Oryzias latipes: one gene and its partners. The protein of the gene in region 1 purifies or fractionates together with the protein of each later gene. This does not show direct contact. Links are inferred from orthologs where the notes say so. Each region holds a gene or a part of one and is shown in the gene's direction. Other genes may lie near its edges.

Region 1 (3,529 bases):
AAAAAATCTGATTTTTTCCAAAAAATCCGATTGAGCATTAAGCCCTGCAGTGTGAACGTAGAGCTTTAATAAGTTTTTCTGTTTTACAAGCAGCATTTTGTTGTCTGATCCTGCTTCACAGCGAAAAAATGCACAGAAATCGCAATTTTAAGCTTCTTTTCCGAAAAAAAATATCCTCCATCATCAGAACCATGCCACGAAAACATGTTAAAAAACACCAAAGACACCATTTATATCAGAGTGGGTTTTTAAATCTACTGGGGATTTTTCCGTGCCGAGCTGCGCTTCCTGGAAACCTGACTCAGAGTGGTCAGTTTGATTTCAGGTGAGTTTGGTGAGTGGATCTCAACTCGCTGACTCTCTGACTGTAGACACCACATGGCAAGAACTATTTTAACAATCTGCCTATTTGGAGTAGAAATAATATCTGTCTGTTCGTGGCATTTGAATATTTAAACCACTAGTTTATGATTTAAATCATTTTAATAACTCGTGGTCTTGTTCTGTGTCAGAATGGAACCAGCTTCCATGTGTTCGATCAGTGCCGGTTCTCTAAAGAAGTCTTGCCGAAGTTCTTCAAGCACAACAACATGGCCAGCTTCATCCGACAGCTCAACATGTGTGAGTACCAGCGGGCGACTCTGCTCACCTCAACCGAGGATACAGATAAACGCTGGAATTACAGAAGCTGTTTGATGTTCTGTGTCTGTCTGTGGCCAGATGGTTTCCGTAAGGTTGTGCACATTGAGCAGGGCGGTTTGGTGAAACCAGAAAAAGACGACACAGAGTTCCAGCATCCGTTCTTCATCAGAGGACAAGAACACCTTCTGGAAAACATCAAACGCAAAGTCACTAATGTATGTGCCTGCAAAAGCACCCCAACAAGGCCAGATTTTAGGCTTTTGGGATCCAATAAAAGAAGTTTTTTTTAGCCTATTCTCATCTTAAATGCACACATTTATTATTCTCATAATCTTCATTGTAGGTTAACATCAAAAACATTCTGGATAGAAATCTAAAAATGAATAGAATGATTTAAAAAAAAAGTTGAACTTTGTGAAAATGGGAATTCTGGAGTTTTTCTTGGCCCCCTGGTCCACAGTGACAGTCCCCCTTTTTACCTGACCCTTGCAGGTCTCGTCGGTCCGTCATGATGATGTGAAACTCTGTGCTGATGACGTGAGCAAAATCCTGAACGATGTCCAGACAATGAAGGGAAAACAAGAAACCATCGACTCCAGGATTATCGCAATGAAACAGTAAGAACCAAAAAAAAAGCTCCCAGCTCTGCTCCATTCTGATGCACCCCCCTGCAGGTGGACGTCTTTGTTTTCTGGCAACTCGCTCCAAACTGTACAGCCGGATAGCTCCAATATTGCTCGTCATTCTGACTGCACCAGTAATGTTAGGCTGGATGTGTCAGGGGCTGTAAGCTAGCAGGAAAGAGTGTAAACTTTGATTTTATCTTTAAAACAGTGTAACTAAAATAATAAAAAAATAAACACTGGGAACGTGTTTAAAATTGATCAAAAGATGATGGGAGCAGGTCTTAAACTGTGAGTTGTGGTGGTCTTTTCCTGAAACTGCGTTGCTCCCCACATTCTCCCATTGTTTGGTCTCACTTTGTTGTCAGTCTCCTGACCTGTAAACTATGTTCCTGTGTTTCAGTGAGAACGAGGCTCTGTGGAGGGAAGTGGCCAGTCTGAGGCAGAAACATGCTCAGCAGCAGAAAGTTGTCAACAAGGTACAAACATGTAATCAAGGAGCACAGAGTAGAGGTGGCGTGTACGTGAAGTGTGGAGGAGCAGCCGTGTTTAGAGCTACATGCATTTGTCGTTGAATAGAAAATGTGGTTGTTGTTGTGCGTTTTGTGTTAAAACTGAGTGTTTCATCTTTCTGTGCACAAACACTGATTGGCAACCTTGTTTACATTGTGAACATCCACCCATCCTTGTATAGACTACAGTTAATTTTGATGGCGGGAAATGTAAATAGTCAGTGCATACGATTTTTAACACAATGCTAGCACGTTAGCATACACCTCGCTGCATCAATGCTATTTTTTCTCTCTCTCTCTCTGCAGTTGATCCAGTTTCTAGTGTCTCTTGTCCAGACCAACAGGATCATGGGAGTCAAGCGAAAAATGCAAGTTTAAATCTGAAATGGGACCATTGACTGTATATCAGAACTGGAGGGGAGTGAGTGTGGCGTCACCCTTAGAAAATGTCTTCAACAAAATTAAATCAATTCAGTCACCATTTTTTTTCGTGAGACGGACGCCGCCATGTTGGAGCCATACGTCGTCGGTAACCAGCCAGTTGGTCTGAACCAACATTTCTATGGCAACCACTCTGGCCAATCACGAGTGACTTTCTTGGAAGGCCACAACCCTATCACTTGAATCTGTCAGACGCTTGAAACATTAGACGTGAGACCAAAAAAAACCTTTATTTTAAGGCATCTGATTGGTCGGTTTGTAACTTGAAATGCAGAAAAAATATGTCAAGTCTACAGGATTTTGGCTTTTTGGAGCCAGTGGGTACTTCCTGTTTGGAACGCCAGGGGGGAGGGGGTCACTGAGTCCAGTTTTTATATACAGTCTTTGAATAGGACTTAACCTCTCAAGCATTTTAAGTTTTTCAGACACCAAAACATTAGGTTGAAGAAAAGGATTTACTAAAAGACGAAAAATGTTTTTAGTTTGTGCAGTTTTTGCATTTGCTGTGTTTGTTTACTCACCTTTTCTCCCCTCCACCTTTAGTCCTCTGATGCTGAACGACTCCAGCTCCACTCACTCCATACCGAAGTTCAGCCGTCCATACGTGCAGGTAACAGAGCCTACGTTTCTCTCTGAGTTCTCTCACATACCTGAACAACATGGCACTCCTGATGCTCAGAAACAGGTCAGAGGTCATGGGGTTAATGGAGGGCATCTCTTGTTTTGATTTAGTTGAAAACAGTTTTGTTGGTTAAAAATATATTAACCTTGCGTTGGTATACTTCTAAAGTTTTTTCTCACACTATTATCTAAGGAGATGTGAAGACAGCGGACGATCATGTGTTTTCTGTGGGGTGAGTCTTATTTAAGCTCCATCTTTTTCCTCTTCAGGCGGCAGCTAATCCCTTCTCAGCCGACTCTGCTCTGAGTTCTGGACCAATCATCTCAGACATAACAGAGCTGGCCACTTCTGCCTCAGACGACGTTGTCAGTGAGTGGATTAACCCAAAGTAAGCACCTGCAGATCATCCTCCCTTAAATGATCAGTCAGCGGTCAGTGAGGCGTCTCTAATCCCAGCCCTTCTGCTTTATAGGGAGAACGAATCTGTTAACATAAAGGAGGAGCCGTCCAGTCCGGAAGTGGAGGAAATACCCATTATCGAGGAAGAGCCAGTGCATGTGGAGACCCCCTTTTCACCCACCACCTTCATCAACTCCATACTTCAGGAAGAAGCACAGCCAGCAGCAGTTACCGCCACCCCCTCCCCAGCAGGCAAGCAGAGTGCAAGACTTAGTTGGATTTTCCTACAT
Region 2 (4,328 bases), on another chromosome or scaffold:
TCACGAATGTGATCGGCGTGGTGGTGCCTTCAATGTCCAACAGCAGAGCACCAGTGCACGCAGGGATGGAGACAGAGGCCATTGTTGATCACAAAAAGCAGCTGGAGACGTTAGCTGGTCTGAGCTTAAAGGACAGCGGGCGGCGGCACCGCAGGATTCCAGCCAGGCGGCGATTCGGTCCGGTCCGGTCCGATACTCGCTGCTTCTCCAGACAGAAAAATCAACACCGATCGAAATCCAAACAGTTACGTTTGACACAACCTGTCCGTGACATGAGCTCGACAACCATTACAAAGCAACAACCAGCTCACATGTTCAGCATCGTCAGTTTAGCCTCCGCGTCGGGAGATGGCGCTGTTGAGTCGTAAAACTTATTTTAGTGGGGAAACCAGAAATTGGTGATGAGTACCAAACTATTGAATTACAAGACGACTACTCACTATAGTGCGTTTGCCATTTTGTCCGCATCTATTCCGAAATCGAATGGCCCAATATTCACATTTAAATTCCAAAATCAAGTGCCCTACAAATTTCCCAGAAGTCTCTGCGAAAAACCAGTGTGCAACACCAGATCGATGCACACTAGATTTTCGAATACAGACCACAATATGTTGCATTAGAACAATTTTTGCAAGAAATAATAAGTATTACCATCTATTTTTGATAAACCACTTACGTTTTTTCATGCTTTTGTCAAATAAAAGTTATAAATTCATAAAAATACAGTTACAAAAACAGATTTCTTGATAAATCAGGTATAAAACTGTTTTTTTGCACATTTTAAAAGCTAAATGTAATATTTTTTTACAACTTTTTGAAGCCTTTGTTTATCATTATATATGAAAATTGTTGAATTATTTTTCACAATTGTACAACTTTCTTCTCACAAATTAGATTTTTCTTCATAACTGTATGACTTTGTTCTCATGTTGTACAAACTAATGCTCCTAACTTTTAACTTTATTTAATAATTGTATGACTTTATTTTCATACATATGTCTTTTTTTCTTCTTTGATGGTGTCCCTGATGCGCCATCATGAGTGTCAGTGTTAGTATGATTTTTGATTTTGATAAAGTTTTTCTTCTGGTTGCTCGTTTGCTGAGCAGTTTTCCTTTCCTTTCATTTCAATTTCAGAATTTTATTTTTGTTTTTGTTGCCTAGCATTTTTAAACAAAACAATCAAATATAGAGTTGGTCATGCTTTTTATTTATTTATGTATGTATGTATTGATTGATTGATTGGTTTCTCCTAAAACCATTTCCATTATTTTGGAGAGAAAAAAAGGTCCAATACTAAAAGTCTTTCATATTTAGATTTAGAACTGTATCTAAAGATTTTTAAGATGAAGATAATTGGATCTTGGAAAATTAGGCTCAAAACTAAAACAACAAATCTCTTTATTTATTTATTAATAAGAGAACAATTCATTTGAATAAAGTCCCTTTTAAAAAATGTAAAATATTCAATTATTTACAAATTACCCTGGTGTTACATCTCCGCTGCAGCAGGTGGCGCTCTGCACTCAAATGCTCACTTGGGATTCGCAGAAGTAGACAAACAAGAAACGACTGGCAAGAAAACTAAAATATCGGATGAAAAAATATCCTTTAAAATTATTAGAACTGAAAGAAAATTATATTTAGAGATCAAGGCGTTTTCTTTATCTATTTAAATTTTGAGATAACTTCGAATAAGTTGAGCTAGCCTCGTCCTGTTTTTGAACATCGGCTTTTGTTATTTGTTATCTGTTAGCAGCTAGCAACTATCTTGGCTGTTAGCTTAAAATAAATCGAATTTTTTTTGGCTCAAAATTACTTTTGATTTTTTTTTTTCCGAAAATCATTTCATTAGAACTAGCATTTGATCTTTTCGAGAAAAAAGTGAAGATGTCTGAGGATTATGAATTTAGCGAAGACCCGAGTATGATGAGGATGGAGGAGGATGGAGAGGCTAACAATGACGACCCCATGTCAGCTCAGGGGGATGGCGGCCTGATGGGGGACGAGGCCGAGGGATCAAGGATCGACGCCAGCAAAAACGAAGAAGATGAAGGGTAAGTTTATCCGCGCGGGGAGCCTTTCATACAAACATACTCCCAGAGAGACTTCTGGGACATACAGCTCGGATGACCGGGAAAGCTCCTGCACGGTTATCCACGGCACTGTTGATCCATGGACGCACATTTGTTGTAGTTATTTTCAAATTGTTTTATATTTGCGGCAACGTTTGGTGAGTTCCAAAAATGTATTGGCGTTTATTTTGATTAGGATTATACCGTTTTAGCTAAATAAAAAAAACCTGTCTTTTTGTAAGACTTAGTTTCTGCAGAGCGGCGGGAGTTTATTAGAAATTCACCTCTAAATTGTGGGCGGGACCATTGGCACAGACCCCCCCCCCCCCCCATCACCCTAACTGAGAGGTCTCTATTCACAAGCCCTCCTGCTAGCTTATGGCTTCTCACAACCCCAAGCTACCATTAGCGGGGCAACAAATTCAGATCCAGATTCCAGCTCAGACGAGGAAAACAAAGCTTTGCAGATGGATCTATTAGTCTGTATGTAAGTGGATGCATTAGAATGGAGAGGAGCAGGGAGGTTGTGGCCCCGCCCAGCGTGTTTTTTCTACATCACAAATATGATCTTTTTCAAACTCTTCGTCTGCCCCTGATGCACAACGATTTGAATAAAGAAATACTCAGAAACACAGTCTAAGCTTAATTTTACCATAAATGTCGTCCATCATCAGAAAAATGCTACAAGAACATGCTAAAAATACCCCAAACACCTTTTTCATTAGTGGGTCTTTGAAGTTCATTTGAAAGTTTCTTTGTTTGTTTCGGGGAGCAGCAATTAACTGTGGCTAAAAAACACAATAGAAAAACATAATTTACATAAAAACATAAATTAAAAAAAAGGAAAAGCTGCCAAATTTGACCCTGTGGGTTCTTCGGGGTCATATAAAAACAAAGAGGCTTTCTTCAGTTCTTTCTGTTTCACTTCTTTCATCACACTGTTCACTCGTTTTATATTTTATGAATGAAAATGCCAGCAGCAACCCGAGGAAAGATTCTTATAGTTAGGACTTGGGTCACAACAAACACAAACTTATACCACGGATCTCCTTCCAAATGTTTTTTTGCTGGCAGGAAGATGTTTGTTGGAGGCCTGAGCTGGGACACCACGAAGAAAGACCTGAAAGATTACTTTGCAAAGTTCGGGGAGGTGGTAGACTGCACATTAAAGCTGGACCCCATGACCGGACGCTCCAGGGGCTTCGGCTTTGTGCTCTTCAAAGACGCCGAAAGTGTGGAAAAGGTTCGATTCTGTTCAATACCTAAATGTTGTTTTTACTGGGGTGGTGTTGAAAAAAACAGTCTGATCTAATCAAATGTCTCTCAGATCAAGGAAATTTTCTTGTAAGCACTGTCTTCTGTTTTGACTTTTTTAAAAAGCAGCTTTTTATTTTTTATTTTTCAAGAATTTCAAACATTCAAGAATTTATTCATAAAACGTTCACCTTTGTTCAGTTTAAATCAACAGATACGTGCAGATTAACTTAACTCATTTAAAAAAAGTTTGTTTCACAACTTTTTTGAAATAAATACATATTTGTTCGAATCACACTGAATTGACAATAAATCAGTGAAGCAGTTTAACATTTAACTGTTTCAGCTCCAAGTTCGTCTTTTATTTTGGAGGCTTAGTCATTTCCTTCATGCGAAAAAAAGCAATAATATTATTTATCAAATAAATTCAGAAGATTTCAGACAAACTCATGAGTGAACACGTCAGCCTTTTGAAATATTTCTTTACGTTTGATGTTGTTATGAGCAGCAGATTTCTGTGGAGACACGCCTCAACATTTTCCTTCTATATTCTGTTTCTAATTATTACATCAGCTTTGATTTTTTTCTTGTTGTTGTTGTGTCATTTAGTGAGTTTTATTTATGTATTTGCTGCTTTCTGTTCTGAAGGTGGCGTCACAGAAGGAACATAAACTCAACGGAAAAGTCATCGACCCTAAAAAAGCCAAGGCCATGAAGAGCAAGGAGCCGGTGAAGAAAGTCTTCGTTGGTGGTTTGTCTCCAGACACCCCAGAGGAGAAGGTCCGAGAGTACTTTGGTGCCTTTGGAGAGGTTCGTGTCGTTTTTTTTTTTACTCAGCTTAAACCAGTTTTTATCCTTTGACACACTTGATTTACTCTTTTTATTTATGAACTTTCAGAAGTTTTGCGTCCAATTTGAGACCTAAAGCGTAACTGCAGACCCTAAACTGTGTAATTCTTCTGTATTTTTCTTTAATTCTCGTCATTAAATGTTGCACTCT
Region 3 (4,162 bases), on another chromosome or scaffold:
GCTCGGGTCAGGTGTCAGCGCGTGTGAACTTGTTTTTAAACACCTTTCATGTTTTAATGTTCAGCTATCGAGTTATTTTTATTCTTCTGTTTAAACTCTGCTGTAATGTCCGGACTTGATGCTGTGTGCTTTATAAAGTTAGGCTTTGTGTAGCCTGTAGAGTTCTTTTTACAGATTTTTGACTAATCAGAATAATTTTATTGTCATTGTATATGGTGATACAATGTAATTGCAGCAGCCTTGGAGTGATGAAGATAAATAAAATATGTATTTAGTGTAAAATTTAAATGTAAAGAAAAAAAATTAATTCACACGACACTAATGTGATTATCCTTATAACAACAGTATAGTAAAGGGAGAATGGATTATTTTACAATAACTCTAACCCATAAACAGTTTATCCCAGTATATATGGTGAGTCATAAACAGTCTCTGACATGACCTTATAGAGTCACAGAAAGCTTAGCCTTATCTTTATAAAGGACATTATTATTATTATTATTAAGAGTTTAACTATTAATCTAGTTAATTAATAGTTAATTAATATTAATTAATTTCTATTTGTACAATCGAGTGGACCTATACCATTATAAACTCGTGTCAAAATCAATTAAATCAATATTAGAAAATTCCATCTGGATTGAGGTAAAATTAATGGTCACACTCCTAATTATTTATTAATTTTTTCAACATGAATAATTTACTCTCCTGTTTTGCAGCATTTGACATAATTTAAACTATTTATAAATAACAATGGTTTCAAATATCAGTTTGATAATCAAACAGCTGTTTGCTGCACATATTTAGAATGACTACTTTGTATGTTTTTAAATCTTTTAAAGTTGTTTTAAAGTTTAGATCCTTCATATATGTTTAACATAATCATTAGATAGTATCCACTAGAATTTAGATTCCAAAAAGCGGCTTTAATATGAAATATTGATGAAAGCAAATGTTTGTCTGGACTGGAAAACAGAGTAATGTTATAAGCAGCTGTCTCTTTGTGGGGGGGTTGTGTTTGAACCTTTTGATTTTTCATTTTGTTTGTAGATTTTTACTCATTTTTAATGATAAAATAGAATTGGACTAGTTTATTTAGTGACCAAATCTCATTGAACATGTGTTCCTCGCCGGAGGCACGCATGTGTTTTTGAACATGTTTAGCCCCCCCCCCCCGTCTGGGCTCTGATGGAGTCGTCTCCGCTGCTCTCCGGTCCGTCGTCACGTTTCAGGTGGAGCTGCTCTCGGTAAACCCTCGTGGGGGTCTCCGGCTTGGATCTGCAGCTCCGCCCCCCCCCCCCCCCCCGCCCCCCTTGCCGCCCCCACAGTTAACCCTGCTATTTCCAGAAGCTTCCAGCCCACTTCCCCACGTCACTCCACGGAGTCTTTAAAGCGCCCGCCGCCCGTATAAAATGTCTTAGTACCGGAGCGCGAGCAGCATGAGCGCCGTGCAGACACGCGCCCCCGCGCCGACCATGGCTAACAACGACAGCGACCCCCTGCCCCTCGGCTGGGAGGTCAAAATCGACCCCCAGACCGGATGGCCGTTTTTCGTGGATCACAACAACCGAACCACAACCTGGAATGACCCGAGACACGTCGCGACAAAGGTGAAGGAGCGCGCGGGCAAAGTTGCTTCCCCGGCGGGAAGCGCTCGCGGGGAATCTGCGTTGGTTGTTTCTGCGGAACATTGTATTGTCGGTGGTAACGGCTGATCGGTCCCGCCATGTCCTCGTGTCATCATAACTATTATTACGCGATGAGTCACCCTGCAGTATGTGGCGGCCGGGACGGGGGGGCCGTTTTCACATTAAGGTCATTTTCCCAGCAGGGACCGCGGCTGGGCTGCTGTGTGTGGCGGGGGCTGCTGGGCGGGCGGTCCCGGGCAGAGGGCAAAGGGTCGTTCCGGAGGAGACACCGACGGGGTACCGATTGTTGACCGTTTTCCTCCAGGTTTTGGTCTCCTTTGGTTGGGGAGGGGGGGGGGGCATCAGACCTGTTGCTCTCTGCTCCTTCACTTCTTCCTGACATCTCGTGCTTTTATTTTTAAATTCTCTTCCTGTCTGATCGGTTTTCATGGAGGAAAATAGTTCACAGCGGTGACCTGTTCCATAAAGAACATTCAAAAAGACAAACAGTTGGTCTCCTTCAGATTAAAAGTGCTGTCCTGTGTGATGTTGGCGTGTTGGGGGTCAGAGGGGGGGGGCGCTGGGCACAGGGACACATCTTCAGGAGGCAAACTAGCAGCTGCCGGGCTGGAATGCAGAGGTTGTTCTGGCAGGGCAGCGTCACTTTTGGCTGCTGGGTGAGGAAATGTGACCCGGGACGGAGAAGGCGGAACGTGGATCTGGAGAAAGCGGAACGTGGATCTGGAGAAGGCGGAACGTGGATCTGGAGAAAGCGGAACGTGGATCTGGAGAAAGCGGAACGTGGATCTGGAGAAGGCAGAACGTGGATCTGTGGAGGATTTCCACCTGCGGCCGGACGGTCGCGAACACAGACGTCTGCACAGACGCTCACCTGACGTCAACGGCCCAAAGCACCGTTATATTTGGAAAACACACCTGGAAAACATGGAGGCAGCATGAGACGGGGGCTTTGTGAGCAGCTGTGGTGCAGAGGTAGAGCGGTTGACTCTGGATTAGGAGGTCTCGGGTTTGATTCTGGCCTTGCTCTGCCCCCATCAGAGTGTGTAAAGCACTTTAGGCTTTAGAAAAGCACTATAGAAGCACAAATACACAATTATACAAAATATCACTGATGAATCAGTGGTGGAAGTCTTAAAGTTTTTACCTGAGATTTGTGTGTGTTTTTTTAATGAATTTAAAGGTTTTTTGGTTCTAAATTCTTTCCCCTGCCTATATTTCAGAGTAGAGAAGCAAACGGACCCAACATACCTCCAGAACAACATCCTAAGGAGACCCAGAAGACCTTTACCCGAGAGATGAAGCACCCGATTCTGCGGCCCGGCTACATCCCCATCCCCGTCTTCCATGAGGGCGCAGAGCTGCGGCAGCAGCCGCCGCATCCCTGCTGTACGTACATCCAGCCAAGCACAGCGCAGAGTGTCCGGTACGAAGGTCAGGCTCCTTCGCACGCCTCCGGACTTCACGGCAGGCCCAGATCGCCGTTACACGTGGCCTCAGACAGCTGCTCCTCTGAGCCCGGGAGGGCCAGCACGCCCACGCCGCCAACCACAGAGGTACGGGTAACATTTGGGTTCTTCACTGACAGCCACCCTTGATTACAGTGGGAGTTTTCAAAATAACGCATTTCATACACGGAGGAGATTGATTGACAAGGTCAACAGCCAATCAGGATGCAGAACATAGCGAGCTGTGAAGTAAAATGGAAATTGGCTATAAAAAGGTGGCCGGCGATCTAGTGAGGGACCAGCATGAGCTGAAGCGGGTAACATTTGTGCGACCAAACGTGTTCACTGCGTTCTGACTGTGTTGCTGCTCAGGTGCACACCGCCACACACCACCAACCGTGTCGACCCGGCAGCACCGGCCTCCAGGCCGGTTACATTCCTATTCCAGTCATCCATGAGGGCGGAGGGGGTCCGCCTCAGGTAAACCCCGCCGTCTACTCTCAGCGCGCCCCCTACCAGCGCCTCCAGACAGACGAACGGCCCGCCTACTCTGCGGCGCCGTCTTCTCGGGAAAGTGCTTCCCCGACGTCGCTGTTCCCGCAGCACCGGGACGCAGCGTCTGCCCGCCTCCCACCTTCGCTTAGGAGCCAGTCCCCGACGGTATCGCAGCTGCAGGCGGACAGACCGCAGGTGGGCTTTCCGGTCTTTTCCTTTTGCCAGCGTGTCCCAGATTCTGACATAAAACTGTAACTTTGTTATTTGGATCTCAGCAGAACCTCCTCACTAGAGACCCGGCCCAGAAAGTGGAGCAGGAGCTGCAGAAAGCAGAGAACCTGCCGGTTCCTCAACCGCAGCTCACAGAGGTGGACGCTCCACATCTGGAGCAGCCTCAGTCCCAGGAGCCGCAGCATCACGTTGCAGACATCACGGTTCAAATCCCTCCAAAAGCAGAGGTTCAGGACCCAGCCGGCCCTGAAGCCCCCCCAACCAGAGCAGAGGGGGAGCAGGGCGCCGTTCACCCGGGCTTGGCGAAGGTTCAGCAGATCGTGGGACGGGTGGCTTCGCTGG

The links. Proteins that work in one complex are often made in the same cells at the same time.
Region 2: the proteins of hsf1 (region 1) and heterogeneous nuclear ribonucleoprotein D0-like purify together in Homo sapiens (affinity purification with mass spectrometry; 3 studies listed by BioGRID, with this or other methods). This does not show direct contact. The link is inferred for Oryzias latipes from reciprocal best matches to the Homo sapiens genes HSF1 and HNRNPD.
Region 3: the proteins of hsf1 (region 1) and bag3 purify together in Homo sapiens (affinity purification with mass spectrometry; 3 studies listed by BioGRID and IntAct, with this or other methods). This does not show direct contact. The link is inferred for Oryzias latipes from reciprocal best matches to the Homo sapiens genes HSF1 and BAG3.

What each region holds. Positions count from the first base shown.
Region 1 is NC_019869.2:4,832,579-4,836,107, forward strand, and holds part of hsf1 (heat shock factor protein 1), read left to right. Parts: intron 1-512; coding exon 513-621; intron 622-720; coding exon 721-857; intron 858-1,134; coding exon 1,135-1,259; intron 1,260-1,668; coding exon 1,669-1,744; intron 1,745-2,083; coding exon 2,084-2,145; intron 2,146-2,761; coding exon 2,762-2,828; intron 2,829-3,109; coding exon 3,110-3,228; intron 3,229-3,312; coding exon 3,313-3,491; intron 3,492-3,529. UniProt on the Homo sapiens protein: Functions as a stress-inducible and DNA-binding transcription factor that plays a central role in the transcriptional activation of the heat shock response (HSR), leading to the expression of a large class of molecular chaperones, heat shock proteins (HSPs), that protect cells from cellular insult damage.
Region 2 is NC_019870.2:2,825,332-2,829,659, reverse strand, and holds the start of heterogeneous nuclear ribonucleoprotein D0-like, read left to right. Parts: upstream 1-1,528; 5' UTR 1,529-1,889; coding exon 1,890-2,056; intron 2,057-3,148; coding exon 3,149-3,317; intron 3,318-3,976; coding exon 3,977-4,138; intron 4,139-4,328. Other genes in the region: enoph1 (enolase-phosphatase E1), read right to left, coding at 1-82. UniProt on the Homo sapiens protein: Binds with high affinity to RNA molecules that contain AU-rich elements (AREs) found within the 3'-UTR of many proto-oncogenes and cytokine mRNAs.
Region 3 is NC_019873.2:29,858,976-29,863,137, forward strand, and holds the start of bag3 (BAG family molecular chaperone regulator 3), read left to right. Parts: upstream 1-1,362; 5' UTR 1,363-1,439; coding exon 1,440-1,610; intron 1,611-2,869; coding exon 2,870-3,202; intron 3,203-3,466; coding exon 3,467-3,784; intron 3,785-3,864; coding exon 3,865-4,162. UniProt on the Homo sapiens protein: Co-chaperone and adapter protein that connects different classes of molecular chaperones including heat shock proteins 70 (HSP70s), e.g. HSPA1A/HSP70 or HSPA8/HSC70, and small heat shock proteins (sHSPs), e.g. HSPB8.